Linked DNA regions of Arabidopsis thaliana. The protein of the gene in region 1 interacts with the protein of each later gene in a pairwise test. Each region holds a gene or a part of one and is shown on either strand. Other genes may lie near its edges. The genes, in order: PLC2, HVA22J, AT2G28990 and AT5G10290.

Region 1 (7,269 bases):
TTGTTTCAAAGCCTCAATGTGCTTCTGCTTCTTCTCACATTCTTTCGTATGCTCTTCTCGTTCCTCGGGTCTAAAAGGATGCAAACACTTCTTGCCACAAGTATTGCAGAGGTCACCATGCATATGTGGACACTGGTTACCTCGAGGGCAATCACCAGCTGCAGCAAAAGAGCAGATCGGGTACTCTCTAGGGTGGATACAGTAAACGTTAGAGGATTTGTCACCGTCATTATTATCGCCTTGTTGTTGCAAATGCCTAGAGGGGGTGGTGGATATAGAGCGATCTAAAGACTCAGAATCTGAGCTAAGAGGAAGATTGGAAGCAGCTCTGACATGATCGTATCTACATCTACTTCCGTACAAACATATTCGTTTCTGATAGAATGTGCAAACCTAATTTATACAACCAAGAGTCAAATATTTGGGACTGATGAATCAAAAGAAGGAAACTTGAGAAGAGATTAGATTACATTATTGGGCGGATCCTTAGAGTCATGGGAAAATTCGCAATTTTCGCCTTTCAAGCACGAGCCATGGACAAAGAACTTGCACAGTATCCTACAAAAAAGAAATCAAATGAATCATCGTCCCCAGAAACGAAAGAATCAATCTTTATCACCAATCAAAGAGACACAAAATTGAAGAGTTTGATGAATCGAGAAGTTGGGGGATTACGATACCTATCGGACATTTGGGGATTTGTGCGGAGAGAAGAAAAAAAAGGGTGGAAGAATGGAGAAGGAAGAGAGAGCTTTATGTGAAGAAATTGAATTTGTACGGTTTTCAATTGTTGAGGACCAAGCAGACCCCAACGTTTTTGAGATAGAGCGCGCTTCCTCCACCTCCACCACCACCTCTCTCTTTCATTTACTAAAATATCCTTTCTCTTTTCTTTTTGGCCAATTTTGTTTTATGGGGTGTGATTGGTTATGTTTATGGAAATTCGATCAGTTTTATGTGATACATAAGAAAATTCTTTGAAGCCTTCTTGGTGGAATGGAATCAAACAAGTTTTAAAACACACTTGTTACACAAAAACCACAAATCATCATACGATTCAAGTGTTACACGAGACTACTACATAATAATACAACAACACACGATACAAGACCGTCTCTCTCTCTCTCACTTTCGTCTTTTATGTACATAATATTACAAACAACAAATCAAGCATACATTCTCTCTCACACATACAAATCCTCCAAATTCACAAACTCTGTGGCACTCAAACCTACCAGACAAGTTTAAATGCTGTATCTTTCTTAATCATGTCTCACACAAACTCCACCTTCACGAGAAGCTTAACGGATTTGTACTTCTCTCCTTTCCGGCTATGTAAAGGAAATGCTCTTATTCCTTCGCTTAGCTCCCAAACCGGTAAGCATGTCTGTCCTCCAAAATCATCTTTCTCTGACATGTCATACTCATGCACTTCTAATCGTAGCAGGGCCAGCTCTGGAACGGTTAATGGGAACTCAAACACCTCATCCCAAGCTGGTATCCAATTATCCTCCAGTGTTTTCGTCTTCTTCATTACTGTATCCCCTGGAACTCCAGCTATCCCAACCTGAATATGCATCAAAAGCTCAAATTGTTATATTGCAAGCATAAGAGACAAGAAACAGTTCTATCTCAAAACATTTGTGTGAGGTTTAAGGCAGGGAATCAAAAATTGACCCTTGTATAGAAGTCAGGCGGTGAATATTGGTCAAAGTGTGTGTGGCGGAAATCAAAGTACCAGCCTTCTCCCATGTATACAGTTACCTAAGGGAAAGAATAAGTTCACTGAGTTTGATCGGATTTGAATTGGTAAAAGAAAGACCAACCAGAGAATCAGATATCTCACCCTAAGTGTTGTTTTCACAGGTAGAGTAGCTTTTGGGTCAAATATGTCACTATCCGAACCACTTTTCAGCAGAAGGTCAGGTTTCTTGATGTAGCCACATCCGCCATTGGCTCTAAACATTCCCTGCATTAGCCACAATGATCTTCCATACCCCTGTACATGGAAAAAGATCACAATCAAATCAGCTGAGGAATAAGGTTGATGTCCTGTAAAATGATGGAACATAGCTCCTCCAAAATAACTAGAAGTTTTACTACTACGTAGAAAGAAGTTGGTAATATAGCAGAAGGAGATACCTGCATATTGAAAGCCACCATTTGAGCACCGTGGCTCCAGCCAACCAACGGGTTGTAATTTGATGATGTGACTCTAGTTCCTTTTGGGTATATCCTCAGCAAATTGTGCTGAGTAAACCTGCGCCACACCATGATTAACAGGATTCATATTGAGTTGACAAACTGCAACTATTACTTAGAAACATAAAAACATAATATGACTATACCTCACAATCTGCTTCGCATATTTTTCTGCTGCCTTTTCAAGTTGTTCTTCGCTTAAGCTAAGGCGTCTAACCTTGTCAGGATCTACCTTTAAACACTCAGTAATTCCGCCTTTTGGTTTCCCAGCATGGATTGCAATCAAATGTTTATACTGGGGTGGTGCATTAATCTTAGACTTGTCTTCATCATCATCATCGTCATCATCATCATTTCCATCTAAGTCATCCTGCAACAAGAAAGAAAACTAACATGTTTGTCCATGAACAGCAACAGAACAGAATGAAAATGATTTGTCTTCGTACACACCTTAGCTTCACTTTTGTTCCTCTGAATAAAGCTCGGAACTTCTCTTCCCCAAACTTCTTCATCCCCCAAGTCTTTACCTTTCTGCACCACTTCCACATCTTTTCCTTCCTTGTACTCTTTTGGGGGTTTGGTTGAGATGATAATACGTCTTTTTAAAGAGTTTGGCGATGGGAACTCCTTCAAAGATTCTCCCACAGGAGGAGTAAACAGAATTTCCCCAAATATCTCAGTAACCATCTATCATACAACAAGAAAACACATCTCAAAACCAATGTACTCATCTATTAAAGCAGCAAAGAAAGAAATGCAAAATAAAAAGCTACCTCAGCAACTTTAGACTGAAGATCTGGAGTAAGATGATCTTCAAGAGTTACAACAACAGGATAGTCAGATACATCAAAGGCATGTGCTCTGATAGCTTTGAGACATTTGATCAACCCCACAGGTGTAGTGAGAGTCCTGTTTAAGAATGGTTCAGTAAACAAGTTAAACGCCAAGCACCTAACCTTGACTTGTTTTTCGAAATAAATTTGAAGCAAAATTATACATTCCGTGAAGAACATCAATATCGTCTTTGTTGGAATTGGGCCATATATCCAATTCAATGACTCTAACACCTTTCTTCAACGCATCAATAATAGGTACCTCACTACAGTCACTGCTCAGCTGATTACCAGTCAGATAAGAATTATGACCAGTGAATATGAAATAATGCGATATAGGAGCATCCATGTCATGATGCACCTGAAACACCACAAATTCATTAGAGATAAGTCTATAATCAATCTGAAAATAAAAGCTAGCACAATTGAGTCACAATTACATGTATAGCCGGAATTGTAAAAATATTAATTACTTGTATCATGGATTTTTGTGTCAGAGTTCCTAATAGAGTAAATGTCACATTCCTAGATATGTTACTTTCTCAACTTTTTTTTTTTTTTTGAGACATAAAAAGAAAAACAATTCTATTGCTTCAAATTCTTGAATCAGACTTATTCCACAACACCTAAAAAGTACATAGCTCCTACGACTTTCTACCAAACAGCAGCTTCGAAGTTCGAACTCTTGATTAGACTCAGTGAAACATTCAAACAAATTATTCCAAAAATCTCACTTCCTCACACCATTTCCTCAATTACCAAACAAGGAAAACGAAAAATCCCAATCCAAAATCTGAGTTTCTTATATCAATCAATCATAGTTTACTTCAGATTCTGAACTCATAAAATCGAAATAACACGAAAATTACCTTATGGAGAGCAAGAGGAGGGTTATTATCACCAAAGAGGTACTTGAAGAAAGCATCAAGATGGAGACCATTACGATGAAGAAGAGAAGATGCAGAATTGATAATTGACTGTGCATCTTCTCTGGTGGCTTTATCTTGTTTCTGAACATCGATCAGAAACCTGTGGAGATGATCAACGGTCATAACTCCATTCTCTGAGTACTTTTCGAAAATGGTCTTGATCTCACGCGGTGCCTCCGATGCAGTGTAACGAAACCTCCGGCGAAAGCAGAAACACACTTTGTACGTTTGCTTCGACATGAAGTAAAGAAAAAGACGGATCTTTGGGTAATGATTGGAGACGATGATGAAGGAATGAAGTAGGGTTTGTGTGTTATATAATCAGAACTATCTTCTCATTGTTTTTGAAATCAGACAAGCGAGATCAGAATCGTCGTTTTGCGTGTCGCATCTGCAAAGACAAAGAGATTTTTTTCCTTTCTTTCTAGTGAATCTCCTCCATGTAATGTTTAATCGATCTTGAACCTTGTCGGAAAAAGATCTTCTTTCTCTCTCTGTGCGAATATCCCCTCTGGCAAATTCTTATCCATTTGGGTTTTATTGGGCTTTTGAAATAATAAAGCCCATTAAGTTAGTTACTAGGGTTTTGTTGTTGTTTAAAGGAGGAATAAGAGCGTAAGCTACAAAATCTTTCTATTCATCTCCGCCGCTCCTCATCCTGTAAAGCTAAACAAATAATCAGAGGAACGAAGGAGACAGCTTCTGCGAAATCAGCATGAGAGCCAAGGTTAGTAATGGGTTTTGATTGTTTAATGGATTTTTTAGTGATGAGAAATTGAAGTAGTGTGTAGGATCTTTATGGTTTGTGTGTTTGTGTGTTGCAGTGGAAGAAGAAGCGTATGAGGAGATTGAAGAGGAAGAGACGAAAGATGAGACAGCGATCTAAGTAGATTCGGGAGTTTGTTTTGTCTTTCTTCTTTTTAGAACCAACTCTTATGTGAGTTTTGTTGGTTTTGCAATTTTCAATTTGAATGTTTTGTTGGACCAAATCGAATCTATGTTTTCTATTAGAATTATGTTTATTACATGGAATGATCCTTATGAGTTACTGATTCTCCTTAAAGTTCTTCAATCTGCTTATCATTTTGGTTTAATTGATTATCTATAGTTAGTGTCTGCGCTGGATGAGTTTTATCCTGGTGAAGGTTGAACTTTTGATATTAGAAATACCAAGTGAATTTGTATGTCATCTAAGTATACTAATAAAAACAAAGTATGTTGGGTTGATTGAATCTTTCTATCCAGAACGTTTTCTTAGTAATGTAGCAGAAATGTGTGTTTACGGAGGGATGCAATTTTTAGTTCATGATGTTCAGATGACTATTGGTACTTAGGTTTTTATGTGTACATGTGAAATAAACCTACCCTAAGATTTCATTATTATTTCATGAAAATGAGATTCACGTTGCATCTATGTCTTTCTGATGCTGATGAATGATGATGATTGTTCTGAGGTCAACCAAATTCTCATGAAGGATTTATTTAGTCCTTCTCGATATTAATTGTTTCATATATGAATAACAACAAGGTGAAACTGATCAACGGTTTAATAAATCGAAAGTCGAATGGAATGAAATGCTGAAGGAAAGTACAACTACAAAACTCATATGAGTAAGAGAGTTGAGTATATATACTCAAAAATGGCTTTTGACAAAAAGTTAAAAAAAAATTACTCACCTAAACCCAACAGAATATTACAACGAAAGGAGGTTATTATCCACATTATTCCCAGACAAATTCTGGTCAGACATATAAGCTAGCTAGCAGATGAACACCGCCCTAGCAAATTGGGCCGACTCTATGCGCTACTGATACTTTTCCAAATGCGGATATTAAAGCATAAGCTGGTCTGCTTTAGTAGCCGCCCATCGGTGGCATTCCATATGGTGGCATGGGAGGCATTCCTGGCATACCGCCCATTTGTGGTGGAGGACCATACCCACCACCACCTCCCATTCCTGGCATCGGTGGTGCAGGTAAAGCAAGTGGCAACATTTGGGCATACATGTTCTGTTTAAAAACAAAAGAAAAACATATTACTCCTTTAAGTGTATCTGTCAAGATAAAGAGTCGGATGATATCCAGTGTAGCTGTGTCATAAGTAGTACCTGTTGGGATATGACATCCTTCTCTTCCTGCTCTTTGGCCTTCACCTCTTTTTGTGCCTCAAGCTTGTCCTTTATTAGCTCATCCACTTTGCCAGAGTACTCTCGGATAAACTGCAAAGAAAAAACGACAGGAAGAAGAGAATTCATCATAGCGTTCAAATAATGGTTCCAACCTCATTGAGCAGAGAATCAAAAGAGTTTATTTGAGGGTTAGGATAGATCACCTGGAGGAGATACGGGAAGGCAAAGTCCATCATATTGTTGATCCAGGCAAGTTCTAGAGCCACGTCTGGTCGGATTAAGTCATAACATACAAAGAGACATGTAGCAAAGCATTCCTTTTTGCCCTGTATAACAGCAGAAGACACGGGATACTACGTTCAACGTCTGGACCAATTCTTTTCAACTAACCAAACTGAATGGCTAGCACTAGCATCTCGTAAATGTTTAACCATCATCATACCTGTTCAATGAAATACACCAGTAGTTGTTCTGCAAGTTCATGTTCGCCTGATTGTGAAGCCGTTTCCATACAGTCCTTGTACATGTTGTCTTTCTTTGATAATGCAATTGATTGCTTCCATCTGCCCGCTTTCTTGTAGATATAAGCAGCCACACGTCTCATTTCAACAAGTTCGTGTTTCTCGATCTGTTCGCACCATTCACAGGAAGATTATATCATCTCTAAGGCCATTCTTTTTCCATTTTTAAAGAGAGAAAATATTAAAGGGGTAGTATATTTGAACTTTACCTTCTGAGCGAGGCCAATCTGGTCAAAGCTGTCATGTAAATCAATAGACTCTCGCAACCTATCGTAGTCTTCTTCTTCCACGTATATCTCATTCAGAGCCTCATTAACAGCAGAGACATTGTTGCTCTGAACTGCAATCATGTATGGCTTGATAAGACGCAAGTGACCAGCCTGAGATCAGAAGAAACCAATTGTTAAGTAATGTAGCTCAGTTGTTTTTATAGAAAAAAACAAAGTCATCAGTCAGCTTCTAACCTTCCGCATTATATCAACAACACGAGTATGGTCTAACCGCAACGCAAGTACGTTGAGAAGATCGTTGATTATATCCGGATGCTCTTGCAAGTAGAAGTGCACAGCCTTGTAGTACAGTTCAACATTCGCTACCTTGGCAACAATGTCTTTGAATTGCATGTGCTCCCATGCTTCAGGAGAATGGTTCATGA
Region 2 (6,087 bases), on another chromosome or scaffold:
GCCATTCTTTGTTAGATTCCAAAACGTTATTATAATGTTTCTTCTTTACTTGACAGGCGGCTGACCACCCACAAAGGAGATACAGGATCATTCTTAGAAGTACAATGGGACCTATTGACGTATACCTCGTCAGGTATTTATGCGTTGGCTTCAAATAATAGAAACATTGTTATTGGCATTTTCCGTGACTTCATATACTCTACTGATGATGGTATACATATAATTGAACGTATCAAAACAAAGATTTCTATGATTTGGAACATTCATTGTCCCGTTTACATGCTTTTACTTTGTCTTCATGTTCAGCGAATTTGAAGGGAAATTCGAAGACACAAATGGGAGTGGTGCAGCACCACCAGCATGCTTGCCTATTGCTTCTAGCTCAGGATCTACAGGACACCATGACATCGAAGCCTTAACTGTTGACAACCCAGAAACTGCTATTGTGTCTCATGATCATCCTCATCCTCAACCCGGCGATACCTCTGATCTTAATTATTTGCAAGAGCAAGTAGGAGGAATGCTTAAGATTACTCCCTCTGATGTTGAAGTAAGCCATCTTCCTGCTTATTTTTATAATGAACATAGAAATAGGAAGTTGTGCAGAGAAACTAATTAACCTGACTCAAAATCTACCCTCATAATTGTTGTTTGATATTGGTCTTGTATTTTGCAGAATGATGAGTCGGACTACTGGCTTCTCTCAAATGCTGAGATTAGCATGACGGATATTTGGAAAACTGACTGTATCCTTTGCATATATGCAATTTGTTTCTCTCTTATAGTTAACTATATCTATCTGCATAAGATATAAATACGCAATCCTTAACTCTAGCAAAAGCTGGTATCGATTGGGATTATGGAATAGCCGACGTGAGTACTCCACCACCAGGAATGGGCGAAATAGCACCAACAGCTGTTGACTCAACCCCGAGATGATCGAATACCAAGCACACTTCTCAACTTCTGATCCCAAATGTGTTACCTCACAACACTCCCTAAAATCATATACAAGGAGGGAGCAACTACAGAACGTGTATGAACCAATGGCAGGTGCGTTCCATACAATGTACCATTAGATTATGATTCATTTATCGCCTAGAGTGATGTTGTAGAGGAGCACCGAGAAACTAATGTAAGTTTAACAGAGAATGTACTTCATCGGCTGCATTGGTACACTATTTGATTATAATATTTTTGACCACTCAAATGCATCTTTATAATCAGCTATATGAAGAAATCCAAACTCAAATCAATATCCGGATTAAAGCGGGAAGTTTAAACGAAAACAAACACAAATATTCTCGCTGTATTAATACTTACTGCTTCAATTTACAGAAAACATGAAAAAAAAAAAAAAATCTGTTTTGTTTCAATTCAAAACTTTCATTCACTTTTCTTTCCCTATATATCTTTAAACAAACGAAAAGGGTTTCTTTGTCGAGTCACGTATATGTACGTTTGCGTTACTATGCCGCTGGCTGAGTTCTGGAGTTAGAACGTCGCAGCTTAGCTCGAGCATCAGTGAGGGGTGATCCCGGAATTGTATCAGGAATGTTGACTCCATCATCACCGTTAAATGTTCCGGCGGAGTCTCGGCCTGGTGTTGGTGGTGGTGTTGGTGGCGGCCACTTCCTCCCTCTGCTTGTTTGCTTCTCTAGCGATCGCAACGCAGATAGTGATTTGTTCAGCGGTCTTGGAGCGCGCGGTGATGGAGGATCATTGTCCATCTCCACCGGTGACTGCGCGTTCATGTTCACGTTCCTCTCCGTTGGCTTTAGCACAAACACAAAAATTCAAAAGTGCAAAAGGGAGGTAATAAACACAAGATTGTGTTTGCATTAGTACATAAAACGAAAATCAAAAGCGATAGAAAAGTACCGGTTGGTTAGCTGCAGCGGCAGAGAACCGGACCGATTGGGCGAGTACGTACTGAAAACCCTGGATCAAGGTGGATTGACCGGCCTGTGCATCAACATTATATGTATGTTGTTAATCTTATAATAATTTAGTCAAACCTTTAAAAAGAACAATTTGTATATATAAGTAATAGAAAGATAATTTAAAAAAGGACCTGGGCGAAGTTGTTGAAGTAAAAGATGAAAAAGTCCCAAGCTCGAGCTCGCAACTCCATGATCTTTCTGTCAATCTCTGTCTCGTGTTGAGCCATGTATGGCTTCAACAATGTTTCATACACATGTCTCGTTCCCTTCATTCATTATTTATTTCGTTATTATTATTTGTACATCACCATAAACCACTAATTAATTATGATCCAACTAATCACTTTTTAAAAGGAAAAATTATATTACCTTTGTTTTAGGGTACCAGAGATATACGAAGAAGACTACTTTCATCTCTCCGTATAACGGTAACCTGCAAATAATAATTGCATATATCAATTAATTATTTGATGATTGTTAATATTTTTTAAGACAGAGATGGATTAAGGCATGAATTAACTAATAATAAAACTTACTTACCATGAGATAAAAAAATCGCCAACCCTCTCGAATGATGAAATTAGCGCCAAAAGTATCCTAATTATTCAAATACAAATGTTTAACAAATTAATATTTTCGAGTACATATTGACAATAAACTATCATATTAGAATTACGTGCATCACATATATTGAGATATCTTTAAAATAAACCTAATACAATTGTCCCAGTAATCCCCAGACTAGGTATATAATCAACGTTCGAAACCAAAGACTTGTACAAAAGATGAGGTGTATTCATAAATGGTTTTTCTAGCAGAAGACATCAACTTAACGGAATTTTGATTTTTTTTCTCTTTTAAAATCAAACAAAAACCCATAACAGAGAAAAGTATATCACTATGATCGAACTAAAATCGATTTGCCTATCACTACAAATCTACTACATACACTACACATTATATATGAATGTTTAAAAGTATCGAGGATAGAAAAAAGGGGATCATATATAAATAATTCAATACCAGTATTGGCACCAAAATCTGAGTTCCTCGATATCAACTTTGTTCTTCTCCACCGTTTTAAAGCATTCGAATGCTGGGTATGTGTACCCTAATATCAATCTGCCATTCTCACCATTTCAATTATATATATACATCAATATACATGATTAATTAATCAAAAGAAAAAAAGAGATATGGTTAGGACATACACAAGGAGTCTGATGATGAAATCTCCCAACATCTTCGACCAGTTTAGACTTATCTCCTGTTACAATCATAACAAAACCGATTCAACAATCATATATATATCAGACGAATAGATCCATTTTTAAGCGTTTAACAAATGCAAATGAACCTAATGAAGAAGATCAAAGACGTTAGGAAGATCTCGTCCTCGTAAGAATTATTGAACGTATGAAGAAGAATATGAATGGAATTGGTGTTTTTTTCTTCAAGGAACCCAGAGGGATCAAAACTGCAAATGAGATCAAAACCATGTTTAATGGTTACAGAGTTTTATTATTAGAAGAGAAAAAAATATGTATAAGTTGTTATAAACAAACCTAAATTTATGGAGAGGGTGTCTCTCCGGGTTAAGCAAAGAAAAAATAAACAAAAACTTTGAATATCAAAGACAAAGAAAAAAAGAGGAAGATTATGAAGACGCGTAAGTTCTAAAATTGGAATACATCAGGGTTTAGTTTTTTTAGAAATATATAAACGTCAATAAACAAACAAAAAAATTACAAAAAGTAAACGGTTTCTTGCCACAAAAGCTACTTGAATTTGGGGGTAAGAGGAACGGGTTTACCGTTTGACCGTTTGACCGTTGTCTCATTATCCTCGTTATTTAACATTGTTCGACGCTTCATATGAATTTACAAAAAAAGTCCTTGAAGAATCAAATTAATTAAGTTTGACTGATTTTACACTAATAAATATATATTCTTCTGCTGTCCTTCAAAAAAAATACTAAATACGAAATTCTATAAACTACTAGAATATCTTTTGAAATCCATTAAAATCTCATCTAAACATCCTTTATTCAATGGATAATTTGAAGCAAACCTAGTCTTTTTTTTTTCCAAACAAACATAAACTCAAAATAATTCCGTTCCTTATTAATCCAAATTCTAAGTTTTTCACACATGAAAAAAATTGATCCTAAATGTATTATTTTTTGTGATTAACAATTTCCACACTTAAAATTTGTATAGAAAAATTAAAATTTGTATCTTTTTGCAACAAACTTTTTTTTGTAGAATTTGGAGTAATAAGGAATTGAGGAAGAAGTACTTAATAGTGCAGTGATCATAAGTGAGTTGTTACTTATGTTACTTATATTTTACACTAGGTAATCTCAAATCGAAAATCAGATTGATGGACAATATTATTACAACATTCTATGTCTACCAGGTTCCCATAAAAAAACTTCCACCTTTCATCGGCCTCTAAATATTAATCTATCAATAATTAAACATACTGTACGTTTTCTGTAAAGTTTTGTATTGTTTAACAGTAATGTTTATTTTTCTATTATATGTTGTAAAACAAAGTTTATACACCTTTCTAATGTACTTAGAGGAATAATAGTAATACTGGAAACAAAGAGTGGTCTGGATTTGTGTTGGAGGAGCTACGGCCTTTGGGTTTATATCCCTTGAGTGACAATTTATTTGAGTGTTGTAAAGGCGCTGTACAAAGCTCATGAAGGCCCAACACAAATCCATGTAAAACAAACTCTTATTGAGTACTTCTACAACTTCTCTTGTAATATTTGTTAACACCATGTGTAAATCCTAAAAAAATAATATATTCGAATTAAAATTTAAAACGTAGTTTAAAATAATTGTGTATGAAATGAATTAACGACCGTATAGTATAACTATTGAATGCAAATGACATACTAAAGATCATCTGACTTTTTGAAGAAAAAAAAGGTTAGATTTGACAAAAAGAAAAATATAGATCGTCCAACTAGAACCTAAATCGTAATGGGAAGGCTTAATTATATATGAAATACCATTATAGTTCATTATAGTCAACTTAAATAATAATCCTATATTCACATCTCATAATTTTCATAGATCAGTGGAGTAAGTATATGTCACATTAATGCTCATGAATGTAGACATTTACTAACATATTTTTAAAAGCTCACAAAAATTTAAAAGAAATTATAAACTGTCATTGAACATCAAATTAAATATTGTTGCTAAGAGTTTACTTCTCATTAATCCACCTCAGTCACCACATGCACCCTTTAATACCAATCCAAGTAGACTCACTCTCCCTCACACACTCTCTCTCTAAAATCTATTTCATCTTGGAGTAAGAGACAGAGAGACAAAGAAAGAGCAAAGCAATGACGACAGGCAAAAGCAAGAAGAAGAAGATGGTCCTTAAGGCAGTCTCTGTCGTAGACATCGGCTGTGGCAACTGTAAGTTCCCAAGCTTGTCTTCTTTTTTCAACCCTTCCCCCAAAAAGCCCCGCCTCTACTCCTCTAATTACGGCCACTGCCACTCCTCCACCCCCACCACGGCCTCCTCTTCCTCCGCCGTTCCCTCCACCTCCCACTGGTTCTCTGACACCTCTTCCTCCTCGGCAACACCCTCCGCCGCCGCTGTCGCCGTCGAGAAAGACTCAGACGATCCTTACCTAGATTTCCGACAGTCCATGCTTCAGATGATTCTCGAGAACGAGATTTACTCCAAAAACGATCTCAGAGAGCTTCTCCACTGCTTCCTCTCCCTTAACGAGCCATACCACCACGGCATCATCATCCGCGCTTTCTCCGAAATCTGGGACGGAGTTTTCTCCGCTGCCAAACGCCGTGGAGACGTCCAAGAGTCTCCACTCGTCCACCGTCATGGCTCACGTGCGTCACACCGTAACCACTACCACCGCTCGAAGTAACCTTTTTTAACTACGAATTATGCCACGTCACCAATAATGTATTGACACGTTAACTATCCATTTTACTACTACTGACGTGTCAATATATTATTGGGTTTGTGCTTTTTAACTTCTTATCTTAGCTTTGGGATTTTCTTCTTTGTCTTTTAACCAAGTGTAACGACAATGGTAGAATAATTATAATATGGTTGCTACTTGTTTCAATGTTGATTTTTGTAGTAATAT
Region 3 (8,634 bases), on another chromosome or scaffold:
TGATGTAAACAGAATTTCATGTATAAAGTCTACAATGAATCGATACACTACCTTCCGGATTCTGAGCATGAACAAGGTGTACAATGGAAAAAATGTTGACTATCAGTGCCAACAATAATCCTCGATGACCCTCCATTTTGAAAGATGAAGCTACCAAGGTTCCTATGTATATGAATTAACTAAGATAAATGATAGAGTTATGGTCTGCTCGACCTCTTGAAATGTAGCAGCCGGAAAGGAAACATATATGAACGAATAAAAAGAGTTTAAAAGGATACAAAAATAAATAAAAGAGGCAAACTTGGATAAAATTAGCATTTAGAACATATATTCAACAGTTAGGGTTGTGGAAAGTTCTCCCATAAAATTAAAATGTCCATTTCTAAAGATGCAAGCACGTCTCTAGTGGCACAAAAAATCGTGGTCTTAAAATCACTATACTTTTGCACGTTGTTTGATAAAGGAGCCAAGTAGCTGTATAATTTTAAAATTTCAAGCTATGAATTACAATTAAAATTAAAATTTAGTCTATCTTTCCCGCCTCGAAAATGTATTTTTCTCACTCATGCATGTTCTTGTGGCCCTTTATTTATAGAGAGGTTGGCGTGGAAACATTTTGCGAAGAATTTTTGTCATAAATCCTAAATCCAATGCAAGGTTCCTTGGATTCGGTTATTTCTTTGTCCAATTTGAATGATAGATGTTGTTTTAAATCTCCACTGGTTGTGTACTAGACTAGGTCGAAGTGTGTCTTCGTTAAAACAATATACAACAAGAATTACCAACTTTACATGGTGAAAAAAAAAAAAACATTTACATGATGAACCCTCTCCACAAGATAAATCTGTCTTGTGATATTTCATTATTGGAGTTCTTCGTAACATTTACTATTATACATCTTATTAAACTCAGGATCAACGAGATATACGCTTGTAAACAAGTTCTATTACGTTCATGTTTTATATTTAGACTAAATTTTGACCAACTTTTGGTTTATTAGACCATTTATATCTTCTTTATTTATCTTCTTTTGAAGGAAATATAAACAGCTCTTAAGTTTTGAAGGAAATACATAAGTTTTGGTATATTCAACTCTTCCTTTGGTTTTCAAAATACCGAAAGTGGGAACAACCTAATGCATTTCTTGAGATAGAAACAAAGACGAGAATTAGTTGTGGGTTACAAATTCATGAAATAATTTCAATAAATTTCACCATATGTATTTCACAAAATATATATCACACTACGACAATTCAACATCAGTATTACATGTTATTAGTGAAAGCCTTAGTTATTATTGGCGAAAGACACTCTTGAAACACACAAATTTGAATATTCATGAGAAGAAAAACCAGCAAGAATAAATTTTGACGAGCTAGCGAGCTTGAGGTATTACCTCATTATAAATGTCTCTGCTGAATTCCATTGAACCTTTTGATTCCATGTCTCGTCCCTCACCTATCCTAGAGGTTTCGGATATAAGACATTCTTTTAATTCATTCACAACTCGAGACATGTTTGGTCGTCTTGCAGAAGAAAGACTCACACATGACATTGCTAATTCAATGGCCTTCCAGACAGAACCAATATCATAATCTTGGTGGAGGTTTGGATCCATAATACTTCTAAGATCTCCTTTTGTTATCATAAAACTGACCCATTCCACTATGTGAGGCTTTTCACGGGATTGCTGGATTATAGGACGGTTTGAAATTATCTCTAACAGTACAATTCCGAAACTGTATATATCACTCTTTTCTGTCAACCAATTTGTTTGATAATACCTGCAAAACAAGAAATTGTTGTGATTGTAAAGTAAAAAAAAGGAATGGTGATTTTGGAACTAACATATGAAGTTATACTCACTCAGGATCAAGATATCCAGGAGTACCAGCAACAACAGTTGACACATTTTTCTCATTTCCGATGGGAAAAGATCTTGAAAGCCCAAAATCAGCTAATTTAGCTTGGAGATGTTGATCTAGAAGTATATTCGTAGTTTTGATATCTCTGTGAACCATTGGTGGTACACATCCAGTATGTAAATACTCCAATCCTACATATTAAATTTAATACCATCGTTTATTGGAAAATGGAGATTAATTTCGATATCATCATATGGTTCCTTTCTGATCCGGTCGAGGCCATACTAATACCCATAAAAGCTGTAATTATTAACTAAACATTTGTCTTAAAGTTTAATGAATACCTAGTGCTGCATCCAAAACTATTTTTAGTCTACTTTCCCAGCTCAGGACGAATCCGCCATGCTTTCCTGTATCAATTAAACACACTTCATATCAATTTAGTTATGATCTTTAATTATTCAGAAAAAAAAATTATATCATGGTTAGGTTTTATTAAGAAAACAATTATATATGTGATATTACCTGACAAATGTTGCTTTAAGTCTCCATTTGGCATGTATTCATAAATAAGAGCCAAGTGTTCTCCTTCATCACAATACCCAACAAGACTCACCAAATTTATATGGTGAACTCTCATAAGGAGTTCCACCTAACCAATCATCCATCATCCAACACTCTTAGAGATATACAAATCAATTGGATATCTATTGAGAATTACTAGAAAAAGGGTACCTCTGCCTTGAAATGCTTATAGCCTTGAGAAGATGATTGTGATAGCAATTTAACTGCTACTTGTTCAATAACATTAACAAAACCATGATACACGACTCCAAATCCTCCTTCACCGAGAGCTTTATCGAAGTTATTTGTCATTTCTTGAACCTCAGAGTAAGTAAACCTAATTTTTTTCGATGTGAATGATGATTCTGATTGACTATTGTGCCCGGGATTCGATACAGGCATACTTGGTGGAGCATGTAGATCTACATATGATAGTATATTTGGTTATATGCTAACTATATGCATTGCTTTATAGCAGGTAAACAAATTATTAATGGCTCATAACTTACTTGAAGGGCTGGCCTTCTTCTTTCGGAAGACAAAAAAAAGAGCCACAACCACAACTACAATAACCAAAGAGGCAGCTGATGCAATAACCGGGAGCAAGAATTTATTTTTCTTTTCGGTATTGCAAAAACTGGATTTGCACAAATCTGGATTTCCTTCAAGTCTACAATGAATATGACATATTTTGAAATTGTAAATAGCTTGCATAGGAAAGGCAATAATCGAACTGTCAGGTACCATATTTTGCGATAATTTAATCGACATGAACTCTCTTAATTAAGAAAGATCTAGCAGTTAAATAGTCTCCAAAAATGAAGTTCCTCTACTTTGTTACTATATGATTAGTAAATGCATTCCCTCTATGGAAAAGGAAATCTTACTTTAACACAAGTCCTTCTTTTTCTTTGTCAAGAAGAGCTTGAGGAACTGAACCACTGAGATTGTTCCCACTTAAGTTTCTGTTGAGACAAAGATAACCATTATATATACATACATACGCAGGTCAAAATGTTCATTTATGCTTTTTAGATAGCTTACATTAAAGATAACGTTTTCATGTTGGCAAGGAAGATAGGCACCGGTCCAGTCAAGCTATTATTTGATAAGTCCCTGTGGTTATATGCACAAACAAAAGAAATTGTCTTACATATTCTGTCCAAATAAATCATTATTGGTTCAGGTGATCAACAGTAGAGATACTTACAGTTCTTGTAATTGCGTGAAATTTTGTAAAATTTGGGGTATACTCCCATTTAATCCACTTTTCGACAAATCTCTAATAATACAAAAACACATACAAAATATTTAGATATTTAAATTTTAAATTAAAGAGTAAGTTTGTGAATGACATTACAAGGAAATGATTGTTGGTGAAGTGGAGCCATCTACGTAGGTGCATCTAATACTTTCCCACGACAAATCTTGAGGGAGACATGGATCTCCTTGCCAAGTGATTTTATTCAGCTTATAAGTATTTTTGATGTTCTTGATAGCGTCCACTGACACAATTATTAAGAGAACGTAACAATCAATATCATACTTTATAATATAATGTAAGAATCAATATCATAGCTTATACTTTATAATATAAGTTACATTCCTGTAATATTGAAAGCTGAGAGGTACGTACCATCACTAAGACTTGTTTCCAATTGTGAGAACTCGATAACACTGTATGCCTCAATAGCGTTGATCAGAGGTGGCAGAGTTGAGTTCGGTGTTTTTACTAGCTGTAAATAACAACCTTCTGAACCACATTTCATTGGTTCTTCTGTGTATAATGTAAATACCTTTAACTTGGTTGGACTAAATCCTGAATGATTAAAGTTTCCTCTCAAGATAACGTCAAACTGCCTCGTCTCGTTGGCTTCAAGGGTTTGAATCTCCGCAAAGTGCATGTACAAGTATACCTCCGCATTAATGGGTAGTGGATCCCACGTAATAATCAGCGGCGCACTGGCGTTTCTTGGTATGGCAGCAGTTTGGAGTATATTTTTTGGAATCTCATATGCATTTGAGTTGTTTATATTGAGATCAGTTGTTATATGTGTATGTGAAGATCCGTTGAATGGAGACCAAATACGATCATGGACGTCATCAGCATACCTACAATAAATTTTATTAGCCACATAAATTAATAAGTAAATTGTATTAGCCAAATACTAGTCTATGAAACTAAGATACCAAAAACTAAGTTAGTTGGCAACTATCCGAGTCAATCACCTTGGCTCGTTTTTTTAATAATGAATTCAATCATTCAATTTCATTTATCGTTGCTTGTTTAGTTTGATTTACAATAATGTTAGTCTTTTGTATGTTTGATTTGGTTGTTTGGTTCTTGCTTATTTTCTTTCAATTAATTAATTTAGTTTTAATTGTGAACAAAAAAAAGAAAAAAAAAATTTGTTTTCTTAGCTCATATTAGTATCTTTTATTTCTAGTTCGTTGTTCTTAGTTCTTTGTTCAATTGTTACAATGACTTGCCATATAGTTTTGGCATAATGTAGTTACGTTGGAGTCTTAAAATTTTGAACACATCATTCAACAATGATGTTTTTAACACAAGTAAAGTCAACATATCCCCTCATTCATATCTTCTCCAGAAAAAAAAAGAGAGAAAAACCTCACATTTTTTAAAAGAATAATGTTAAATTTTATTCAAAAGAAAAACGTCACATTGAATGCTTCAAATAGATTGACTTACCTTATAGATGCATCTGAATTGCTAAGATAAACCCGGAAAGACATCATCAGCGAACCAGATTGTGTAACATACGTATTATTCCTTAGTGGCCGTATTTCTATGGCTGAAATTATTGGCAAAGTTTCTCCTGTCTTAACAAGACAAATATCCAAAGAGTTTGACCTGGCTTTGTGTATGATCTCTTCTCTTGTACCTTCTTTCTCTCCATCCAAATCTATTCTTTTCCACTTATTGGGACCAAGATGGATATCGAAGTTTGGATCACGGTTAAGACCATCATAATTTCCATATACAAAGCTAACCACGATGAGATAAGTTGTGCCACGCTTGACATCAAGACTATAACAATTACGTTTTCCTTCTGGGAAGTATCTAAGAGTCAAATATTGTTTTGATAAGTTTATGTTAAGATCTTTATCGACACTATCAATTTTTCCTGTTTGGATGAAAGTGGAATCCGATGTGAATGTTAATCCGTTAAACGAATCATCGTAAGGAGATTCGTCACTAGGTAATCCACAATCTAAACTGATGAAACCTGTTCAAATATAAAAGCAATAAATGGGAAAAGTGATATTGATACATTCTTATATAACATATCACAAGTCAAAGGATTGATTTATAAACAAGAAAGAGATGGTATATATCATTACCTTCTTGATCCTGGGCTCCAATTATAACGACAAAGGTTCCAATCATGGCCAACAAAAGGTGAATCTTCATGTTCTCTCTCGATCACTATCCGGTTTCTCTAGTACTCAAGAAAAAACAAAGACTTGCTTAGGGAAAACTGCAAAAGATATGGAACTGAGAGATACCTCATGTATAAGTTGGAATGAAATATACAAAAGTCAACTCCGGGTAGAAAATTAAATAATGATCGTGGAAATAATCAATCTGGTGTTGAATAGTTGTATATGTTCAGGAGACTCGTCATGTGTAGGAATATTTCCTCCACGAATGTATGGTTTATCGCCAGATGATCTTACTTTGTCTATGTGCTTAAATTGCTTGAGTGAAGAAAAATCATTTGGTATATCTTCATTTAGTAGTCAGCCACCAAAATAACGAATGAGAAAACTTTCGAGCACAAAGATATATAAAGGTTTCTTTCGTGGATAAGTATTTCGTTTGGATCCCGTCCTATAAACTAGTTTACTAGATTGGATCGAATATATATAATTAAGTTTCAGAATTAGTATACAAAGATCATGTTTTTTGATTAAAAAGAAAAATCATGTTATTCACTGACACATTATATTTTGTTGATTTTTTCAGCGGCAAACTAATCATAGACCAATCAATCAAAGGTAAAAAATTAGGGCTGACGTGGCAGGGCGATTTTGAAGGCGATTTAGGGTTTCACTACCGTGTGTCCCAATCTGGCAGATCTGGCGGCTTTTCCGCCGTCTTCCCCCATCATGTCGACGGCGATGGTGGTGGAGAGCACATCGAAAAGTTCAGAAGCTTCCCCAGAAACGACCAAACCATCATACTCATCAATTGTTCAGAATAGACCAACCCTTTCGAAGCATGAATTCAACGTAACAATGGTCAACGGTGATTCGATTGTCCAAGTCCCAAATGAAATCTTTGAAGATTCAACACCATTGTGGGATGATTTGCTCATAGGGCGGTTTCCACAAATATCTCCGCATATTGCAAAAGTTCACGTTATTGTGAACAAGATCTGGCCACTTGGAGACAAGACGGTAAAGATTGACGCATATGTGGTAGACACTAAAACAATCAAATTCCGAATCAGAGAGAGTTCAGTCCGAGCTAGGGTTCTTCGCAGAGGAATGTGGAACATAGCTGACATGCCTATGATCGTTTCTAAATGGTCCCCGGTTGCTGAGGATGCTCAGCCAGAAATTAAAACAATGCCAATGTGGATCACCATTAAAAATGTTCCACGCTCAATGTTTACTTGGAAGGGTCTGAGTTTTCTTGCAAGTCCTATTGGGGAACCAAAAAAGCTTCACCCTGACACAGTTCTGTGCAACAGTTTTGAGGAAGCTAAGGTATTTGTAGAAGCAGATTTAACACAGGAAATGCCAAAACAATTCCGCTTTAAATCTGAAACTGGCGTTGATGCAATGGTCGAATATAAGTATCCTTGGTTGCCGCCGAGATGCTCTTCATGCTCTAAGTGGGGACATATACAAGAGGTTTGTCTAACGCGTCCATCACCCAATCAGCTATCCACACCAACGGAGATAGAAACAGAGGATAAAACAGAGCCTCCTCTCATGAAAGAAAAACCTCTCGAAATACTATCGAAATCTCCTTCGGCTACTTTGACAAAAACGCTAAACGGTGATTCTCACACTCAGAAAGTTCCAATGAAGAATCCGACTGTTTTACAGAATAAGGGAAAGGAAGTTGCAGAGGAAAACGAGGAAAATTTGAAGGACGAAGGTCCCTGGCACACGGTATCGCCTGCTAAGGTAGGCAGGCAGAGGAGTCCTCAACCTCAAGAAGTAGTTAATCATGCGTCTCCTTCTCGTTTTGATGTCCTAGCAGTGGAGGAGGACACGGCTGACACAAACGGTCATGAGGAAGGAGAAATTGTTGTTCTCTCCCAACAATTAAATGATAATTCAGATTCAGTTGGTGTTCAAGGGACTCGTCCGTACATCCCACGAATCTCAAAGTCTCAGCATAAGGTGGTCAAAAGCTCTGCGAATCAAAACACGAAGGGTAACCCTAGTGTTTCAGGTCATAGGGCTCATAAAAAGAAATAATTTTTATGTCGGGTTTCTTTTGGAATGTCCGTGGTCTAAATAAATCTTCTAAACATTCCATTATCAAAAGTTGGGTGAATCACAGTTCTATGCAATTTGGTTGTCTTCTGGAGACGAGAGTCAAGGAGGGCAGATCAGCTGAACTACTTTCGTCTATTTTTAGTGGTTGGTCGTCTATAACTAATTATGAATCACATCGGTTAGGCCGCATTTGGGTTGTTTGGAGGGACAATGCTCGACTAACTCCGGTATTTAAGAGTAGTCAAATGATAACATGTTCGATTCTGTTGGAAGGTAAAGAAGAAGAATTCTTTTGTTCTTTTATTTATGCTTCAAATTTTGTGGAGGAGAGACGTATTTTGTGGGAAGATATTCGCTCTCATCACGACTCGCCGTTGATTCGTAACAAACCATGGATTCTCTGTGGTGATTTCAATGAAATTCTTGAAGGTGGAGAGCATTCAAACTATGATAACTCTCCCTACACTCCTCCAGGGATGAGAGATTTTCAGGAGATTGTAAGATATTGCTCTTTTTCTGACCTTGGATATCATGACTCACGTTTCACATGGTGTAACAAAAGAGAAGAGGGTTTGGTCTGCAAAAAACTTGATAGATGCTTGGTCAACGATTCCTAGTGTTCTGCTTATCCACATTCATACAACGTTTTCGAAACCGGTGGTTGTTCTGATCATTCTCAGGGCAGATTAATGTTGGAAGCTGCGGCAACTGGAGGCAGGAAACCGTT
Region 4 (7,379 bases), on another chromosome or scaffold:
AAGATTATTACATATAATCGGTGGCAATAGCAGAGAGAGAGTCAAAGAGTTTTTGGGGTTTGGAGAGCATCACCATGTGATCTCCGCCATCGATCTCGTAGACTTTCGAGACGTTGAAATTATCAATCATCCAACGAATGAAATCGCAGGGGATGGCTTTGTCTTCACTACTCATTACGTAAACTCGTTGCACCGAACCATATCCTTCCTCGCTAAACTTTTCTTTCTTTGATAGATCCTCTGTGAAAAATGACCCTTGCCTATGCAACATTTTTGCCAGCTCGTAATCCTTCACAGTGTAACCATCATGTAACCACACACCAAAACTAATTAATAATCATCTCATACGATGATTCATATTCGAAAACTTTAGCACATAGTTTGAATATAGATTTTGTTGTTTTGGCGTAACAAATTTTAGAGATTTGTGGGAACAATACCTCTATGGGACAATTTTGGTAAAGACGTGCCTTCATGAATTTTGGTCCCATCTTCAATAAACTCATCGTCCCATTTCTTGTTTCATGAGATGAAAACTCACAATCTCCCAAACCTCCAGGCATCTCCATATACTTTATTATTATCATCAACCAAACCAAGAATTATTTTCATGGTATTAAGATAAGTTGGTCAAATTATAAAAAACTACTAGTATCAAAATTATTTTTGTTATTTTATTGTTAACCTTGTCCAGAACGTGAGAAGGCACGTGGGTTGTGTCGGGCAAGAAGGCGTTGAGGAACACAAGAACCTTAATCTTCGCCGGAAATATGTCGGCGGCGAGAGCGATGTTGATGCCTCCGAAGCTGAATCCAACCAGAATTACCTCTTCGTTCTCTGGAAGAGATTTGAGGGTTTCGATCAACGGTTTGGAGTATTCGTCGACGGTTTCAACGGCCTGGATTGGTCGTGGGTCGATCCCGGAGGCGGCGAGTTCGACAGCAGTAACGCGGTGGCCGGCTGATTCAAGGAGGGGCTTGAGCTTGTACCAGATCCAGGCTCCATGATAAGCGTTGTGAACTAACACGAAGTGATGTTTCCTCTCCATATGTCTCCGTAGACGTTTTCTTTTTGGTTAAGGTTCTTTGCTTGTTTGAGAATAGCGTGATAAAGTTGGGATATGAGTATGACGTTATTATTATATAGTGATAGTGGGATAAGGTTCATATACGTTACGCTGTTAATAACTTCTTATGTTATGACACATGTTCAGATTTACTAGTCTCCTCGGTCGGCTGTTGTATACTTTTGTATACTTGTATTTAGATATATTTTAAATAAATAAAGCAGAATTCTGTAATCACACTTAGCTAAATTACATTAATTTTTTTGGACATTTAAAAAAATATATGAGTACATCACAGTTTCAATCTAATAACGGACCAACACATGTAAGATTTTGACATCCGCGATTAGATGGACGTAAAAAAGGCTTAATTAACGGAACTAATTGAACACGATAAACACGTGCCTGTTAAGTGTTAACCGACCTAATCTTCATATTGATCTGAGAATCTTCACAGCTTCCCTTCCTTCTTTGAGTCTAGCCGGCCCATGGGCCGTGAAACACTGTGACTGTGACTCTCTTTTATTGACTCATTTTAACCTTTTCCTTTTGCCTTTTGGTACCAATTTTTAACTTTTCCTTTGTACAGGGAGATTCGCTTCCTTTTTTTAGGCTGGCCATTTCGTCTTAGTGAGTGGTGTATAGTTGGCCATTTCAGTCAGCTGTATTATAGCCTCATTGTCAATGATGTCGAAAATCATTCCTCAATTTACACAATGGTTGTCAGGTAAAAAACAACGAGAGTTGATAAGTAGATTTAGGAGGGAAAAAAGAAAAAGACAATTTAGTTAGTCTTCTTTTACATCCACGTAATTAAATAGCACATCGTTCCAAACATCATTATCAAAGTTCATTAGTTATTTAGGGAAATTACAAGTTGCACGGAGAAAAAGCAGTTCGTGGACCAACATTGGACTTTTCTTTCAGACAAAGGCCATTAGCGAGCGAGAGTGATAATTGCGAAATTGCCAAAAAACGCAAAGTCTACCACTAGACAAGAAAATCGAAGCTTTTCACTTTCTCTTTTTTCTGTTTTGTTGTCTTTGGTTCTACTCTCCGCACTGAATCTTTCGATCAGCGATAATTGTTTCCTTCTTTTGGGATTTTCTCCTTGGGTACGAGGTTCTTTCCTTCTTTTATTTGCTCTGTTTTTGAGATTTGGAATTGTTATCAAGTCTGACAAAATTGGTCACTAATCTTTCTGGGAAATTGAGCATGTTCGTGTTCTTGCATCCGTTTGACTCTTTTTCTATGCAAAGTCTCAACCTTTCAATAGTGGAATTTATTCTTATCCCTAATTTCTCTTTACCAGACCTATTTTTAGCTAAGTTTGGTTGAATTTAGAAAGTCTTTGATTCATAGTTGAAGAGATTCTCTCCATTAATCTTTCTCTGTAATGTGTCAGATCCACTAAAAGTAAGTAAGAAAAAGATTTTGTTGTAATGTTATTAAATGTGTCTTTGTAGATGGAACCAGCTCAATTAATGAGATGAGATGAGAATGTTCAGCTTGCAGAAGATGGCTATGGCTTTTACTCTCTTGTTTTTTGCCTGTTTATGCTCATTTGTGTCTCCAGATGCTCAAGGTGATGCCTTTTCTTACTTTTCAACTGCTATTTTGTTGCTCTCATTTCTTGTTTCGTTTCTGGTAATTTCTGAGCTTGTTCAGGTTGAAGATTTAACTCTATGATTCTTTGCTTTTCCATTTTCAGGGGATGCACTGTTTGCGTTGAGGATCTCCTTACGTGCATTACCGAATCAGCTAAGTGACTGGAATCAGAACCAAGTTAATCCTTGCACTTGGTCCCAAGTTATTTGTGATGACAAAAACTTTGTCACTTCTCTGTAAGTTTAATGACAACTCTGAATTAGTCAATGTTGTTTCCATGTGAGAAGATTTATATTCATGTCATTTGTGATTGCAGTACATTGTCAGATATGAACTTCTCGGGAACCTTGTCTTCAAGAGTAGGAATCCTAGAAAATCTCAAGACTCTGTAAGTGCTTTAGATTGAGTCTCTCTTTTTGTCTGAAATCCTAGAACATAGATATTAGGTTGTGAGCATTTCGCTACCTTCTTTTTATATATAGTACTTTAAAGGGAAATGGAATTACGGGTGAAATACCAGAAGACTTTGGAAATCTGACTAGCTTGACTAGTTTGGATTTGGAGGACAATCAGCTAACTGGTCGTATACCATCCACTATCGGTAATCTCAAGAAACTTCAGTTCTTGTAAGTAGTTCCGCCTCACAATGCTGTTAAATCTTGCACATGTTTTAAAACATTTTTAAGACGTAGAAAAGGATTACTCATGTCTTTATTCACTTGTGTGTTGGCTAAACAGGACCTTGAGTAGGAACAAACTTAATGGGACTATTCCGGAGTCACTCACTGGTCTTCCAAACCTGTTAAACCTGTGAGTTACTGTTCTTTGTGTTTATGCTTACCATCTTTCTGGAAGCATCCTTGTCTTAATTCCATTGTTTGAAACTATGTTTACAGGCTGCTTGATTCCAATAGTCTCAGTGGTCAGATTCCTCAAAGTCTGTTTGAGATCCCAAAATATAAGTATGTTTGACTACTTCAAGTTTAATCTAGCATGCTCATTTCTTTAGCAGTAATTTGATCTGTTTCTAATCGACTATAGTTTCACGTCAAACAACTTGAATTGTGGCGGTCGTCAACCTCACCCTTGTGTATCCGCGGTTGCCCATTCAGGTAAACTACTTCACTTTGCGATTGCTCTGACCGCATTTTCTTTATTTTCAACCATTTCAAAAGTATGAAAGACTGAAAACATCTAATCTGCGGTGATAGGTGATTCAAGCAAGCCTAAAACTGGCATTATTGCTGGAGTTGTTGCTGGAGTTACAGTTGTTCTCTTTGGAATCTTGTTGTTTCTGTTCTGCAAGGATAGGCATAAAGGATATAGACGTGATGTGTTTGTGGATGTTGCAGGTCTGTAATATACCCTACAGGGAAACCTTTCTTTCGTATTTCGTATTTCGGTATGTTATGATGTATTGATATGCAGATTTGTGGAACTTTACTATTTTTCAGGTGAAGTGGACAGGAGAATTGCATTTGGACAGTTGAAAAGGTTTGCATGGAGAGAGCTCCAGTTAGCGACAGATAACTTCAGCGAAAAGAATGTACTTGGTCAAGGAGGCTTTGGGAAAGTTTACAAAGGAGTGCTTCCGGATAACACCAAAGTTGCTGTGAAGAGATTGACGGATTTCGAAAGTCCTGGTGGAGATGCTGCTTTCCAAAGGGAAGTAGAGATGATAAGTGTAGCTGTTCATAGGAATCTACTCCGTCTTATCGGGTTCTGCACCACACAAACAGAACGCCTTTTGGTTTATCCCTTCATGCAGAATCTAAGTCTTGCACATCGTCTGAGAGAGATCAAAGCAGGCGACCCGGTTCTAGATTGGGAGACGAGGAAACGGATTGCCTTAGGAGCAGCGCGTGGTTTTGAGTATCTTCATGAACATTGCAATCCGAAGATCATACATCGTGATGTGAAAGCAGCTAATGTGTTACTAGATGAAGATTTTGAAGCAGTGGTTGGTGATTTTGGTTTAGCCAAGCTAGTAGATGTTAGAAGGACTAATGTGACTACTCAAGTTCGAGGAACAATGGGTCACATTGCACCAGAATATTTATCAACAGGGAAATCATCAGAGAGAACCGATGTTTTCGGGTATGGAATTATGCTTCTTGAGCTTGTTACAGGACAACGCGCAATAGACTTTTCACGTTTGGAGGAAGAAGATGATGTCTTGTTACTTGACCACGTATGTATAATCAAATAATCCTACCTCGAAGTAGCTTCTCTCAAGCTTTATTGACCGTAATCTTTTGGATCTTTTTTTTGTTTTGGACAGGTGAAGAAACTGGAAAGAGAGAAGAGATTAGGAGCAATCGTAGATAAGAATTTGGATGGAGAGTATATAAAAGAAGAAGTAGAGATGATGATACAAGTGGCTTTGCTTTGTACACAAGGTTCACCAGAAGACCGACCAGTGATGTCTGAAGTTGTGAGGATGTTAGAAGGAGAAGGGCTTGCGGAGAGATGGGAAGAGTGGCAAAACGTGGAAGTCACGAGACGTCATGAGTTTGAACGGTTGCAGAGGAGATTTGATTGGGGTGAAGATTCTATGCATAACCAAGATGCCATTGAATTATCTGGTGGAAGATGACCAAAAACATCAAACCTTGAGTTTACTGTAAAGTTGCCAACTTCACTTTTTTGTTTTGTTCTTCGGTGAAGAAGTAAAATCAGTTGTATAAATCTTGTTTTTGTTTCATGATGTATCTTTTGACTTTAATAAATTCTGTGAATGAAAAGAACTATGATGTTTTGTTGACTTTTTTCGTTGACCGCAAGAAACCTTTTTGTCGTCTTATACTGTCAGGCCTATTACAAAGTTGTCGTTTATATGGGCCTAATATGGGCTTTTAAATACATGTTTTCTGTCCCAAGTTGTCCTAGTTTTGCCAACTCAATTTATGATTTTTTTTTTTAATTATATCACAAAATAAAGATTTCTGTATTCTCTGACATGAAAATTAATATTTATTATTGAAAAATCGTTGTTTTCATATTTGAATAGAAAACAAGAAGAACAAAAAATTAACATATTTTTAATCATCTCTAAATTGTGTTAGATACAATAGCAATGTATTTTAAAGATTTTTATGTTCATGATCGAAAATATCCAAAAATATTTAAGATTGAAGAATGGATAATAATATACATTATCCATTGACAAAAAAAATCTATACATCATTATCATTTGGATACGGATGAAGTAAATTCCCTAATTGCACAAGATCTTTACAAGCCTCGATTATGTGTCAATTCAACATTATAACAAAATTAATAATAATAAAATAGATTCAATGAGTGATTTTTCTATAAAACCTAATGAGAGATCACTTTATCTGACATCACATACTTAAAGGGCCTTGTCTTTTAATTATTATTAAATCTCTACTTGGCCTTTTTATATTATCGTTAGCCAGCCGATCACATGCTTCTTCACTTCTTCCATTATTTGATCGATCTTCTTGGCAATCAAATCAACATTTAGACTTAACCAATGATATAATGAAACAACTCAACATTCAAGCTCTAATATGTGTTGTTTTAGAGCAAAATACGTGGTCTTTCATATGTTAACATATTTAAACTCTAGTCTCTAGCTTTAATTTGTTTGATTTTCTGCTTAAAGATACACAAACTGCTCTTTGATTTTTTTTGTGTGTTTTCATTCACATAATAACAGTTTGTCTATTATTTGTTATGACATCTATATTCATACATGATCCGAATGTTATCACTTATCACCATGGAAGGAAGTGTAAAACAAAAGATTCAAATAATCAGCAAAAACCCTAATTATTAAATACCATACAACTACAACTACAACTACAAATGATATCCATTTCACAAAAATCTTATATATATATAAACTCTGTGCACAGAGACATATGCTAAAGAACATTGACAACAACATATGCATATGAGTATGAAATCTCTGTACTGTACATTCTACAACATGAGTTACAAATATATGATGTCTCTACAGTATTTATATATATATAGATAGGCAAATAAAAATCTCCAACAAGCACAATTCCAAGAGTAAATTTGATTTGAGTTCCTCCAAAGTACATACCTGAAAGTAAAGACAAAAGAAGGCTAAGGAATGTCGGAAAATATAGAATCATCCAATAGATGATCAGGCCATGCAGCTGAAGCTGAAGCTCCTGATTCTTGACCGCTTGAAGATGTGATATTGCTATTGACATCTTCAATACCGTATTGGTTAAAAATCAGATCATCATTCACATGAGCAGGAGTTGTGCTGGATGGATCCGAGAGCCAGATTGGAGACACGGGTAGGTTTTCTCTTTGAGTGGAGAATTTGAAGTGATTGTCATCAAGATTCTGGGGGAAAACAGATGATGGTTCCATGTTGGAATTTAGGGTTTTCAGGGAAGGTAAGCTGTGGAAGTCCTGAAGATAAGAGCCGAGGAAACCGAGGTCGAGATTGTTGCTGGTGGTATTATTACTGGTCTCTTTGAAAGAGGCAATAGAGTTAAGGAGACTGAGAGTGTCAAAGTCATTAGGGTTAACATTGTTACTCATGGAAGACGGTTGAAGAAGGTATTGGAACAATTGGAGTTTGGCCATCTCGGTTTGGAGTTTGAGTATAGTGTGTTCTTGATCAATAGGAAACTGTTGTTGCAGATCAACAAAGCCTCTCAGGTTAGAAGACAAAGACATGAGCTGAGATAAGCCG

The links.
Region 2: the proteins of PLC2 (region 1) and HVA22J interact in a protein complementation assay, tested with the Arabidopsis thaliana proteins (one large-scale study listed by BioGRID).
Region 3: the proteins of PLC2 (region 1) and AT2G28990 interact in a protein complementation assay, tested with the Arabidopsis thaliana proteins (one large-scale study listed by BioGRID).
Region 4: the proteins of PLC2 (region 1) and AT5G10290 interact in a protein complementation assay, tested with the Arabidopsis thaliana proteins (one large-scale study listed by BioGRID).

The regions. Positions count from the first base shown.
Region 1 is NC_003074.8:2,581,353-2,588,621, forward strand, and holds PLC2 (phospholipase C 2), read right to left. Parts: upstream 4,547-7,269; 5' UTR 4,205-4,546; coding exon 3,905-4,204; intron 3,397-3,904; coding exon 3,200-3,396; intron 3,112-3,199; coding exon 2,976-3,111; intron 2,890-2,975; coding exon 2,653-2,889; intron 2,573-2,652; coding exon 2,349-2,572; intron 2,261-2,348; coding exon 2,143-2,260; intron 2,000-2,142; coding exon 1,847-1,999; intron 1,765-1,846; coding exon 1,678-1,764; intron 1,568-1,677; coding exon 1,274-1,567; 3' UTR 1,010-1,273; downstream 1-1,009. Other genes in the region: AT3G08505 (zinc finger (CCCH-type/C3HC4-type RING finger) family protein), read right to left, coding at 1-393, 471-558, 681-691; AT3G08520 (Ribosomal protein L41 family), read left to right, coding at 4,680-4,691, 4,789-4,854; AT3G08530 (Clathrin, heavy chain), read right to left, coding at 5,819-5,974, 6,073-6,183, 6,297-6,419, 6,536-6,721, 6,824-6,994, 7,079-7,269. UniProt on the Arabidopsis thaliana protein: The production of the second messenger molecules diacylglycerol (DAG) and inositol 1,4,5-trisphosphate (IP3) is mediated by activated phosphatidylinositol-specific phospholipase C enzymes.
Region 2 is NC_003071.7:15,121,955-15,128,041, forward strand, and holds HVA22J (HVA22-like protein J), read right to left. Parts: upstream 3,635-6,087; 5' UTR 3,509-3,634; intron 3,421-3,508; 5' UTR 3,301-3,420; intron 3,211-3,300; 5' UTR 3,187-3,210; coding exon 3,155-3,186; intron 3,066-3,154; coding exon 2,967-3,065; intron 2,541-2,966; coding exon 2,484-2,540; intron 2,377-2,483; coding exon 2,313-2,376; intron 2,210-2,312; coding exon 2,075-2,209; intron 1,966-2,074; coding exon 1,882-1,965; intron 1,776-1,881; coding exon 1,470-1,775; 3' UTR 1,166-1,469; downstream 1-1,165. Other genes in the region: E2F3 (E2F transcription factor 3), read left to right, coding at 57-133, 307-550, 677-746, 842-939; AT2G36026 (Ovate family protein), read left to right, coding at 5,311-5,862; AT2G36030 (uncharacterized protein), read right to left, coding at 5,605-5,817.
Region 3 is NC_003071.7:12,452,283-12,460,916, reverse strand, and holds AT2G28990 (Leucine-rich repeat protein kinase family protein), read right to left. Parts: upstream 6,281-8,634; 5' UTR 5,863-6,280; coding exon 5,793-5,862; intron 5,678-5,792; coding exon 5,140-5,677; intron 4,542-5,139; coding exon 4,066-4,541; intron 3,935-4,065; coding exon 3,790-3,934; intron 3,712-3,789; coding exon 3,640-3,711; intron 3,546-3,639; coding exon 3,474-3,545; intron 3,395-3,473; coding exon 3,317-3,394; intron 3,100-3,316; coding exon 2,939-3,099; intron 2,852-2,938; coding exon 2,601-2,851; intron 2,518-2,600; coding exon 2,391-2,517; intron 2,276-2,390; coding exon 2,210-2,275; intron 2,057-2,209; coding exon 1,867-2,056; intron 1,785-1,866; coding exon 1,376-1,784; 3' UTR 1,212-1,375; downstream 1-1,211. Other genes in the region: AT2G29000 (Leucine-rich repeat protein kinase family protein), read right to left, coding at 52-136.
Region 4 is NC_003076.8:3,233,353-3,240,731, reverse strand, and holds AT5G10290 (leucine-rich repeat transmembrane protein kinase family protein), read left to right. Parts: upstream 1-1,923; 5' UTR 1,924-2,181; intron 2,182-2,333; exon of another isoform or gene 2,334-2,532; 5' UTR 2,533-2,560; coding exon 2,561-2,651; intron 2,652-2,777; coding exon 2,778-2,910; intron 2,911-2,990; coding exon 2,991-3,062; intron 3,063-3,156; coding exon 3,157-3,300; intron 3,301-3,412; coding exon 3,413-3,484; intron 3,485-3,570; coding exon 3,571-3,636; intron 3,637-3,715; coding exon 3,716-3,786; intron 3,787-3,885; coding exon 3,886-4,026; intron 4,027-4,128; coding exon 4,129-4,865; intron 4,866-4,955; coding exon 4,956-5,270; 3' UTR 5,271-5,474; downstream 5,475-7,379. Other genes in the region: MES5 (methyl esterase 5), read right to left, coding at 8-289, 441-572, 686-1,048; MYB92 (myb domain protein 92), read right to left, coding at 6,776-7,379.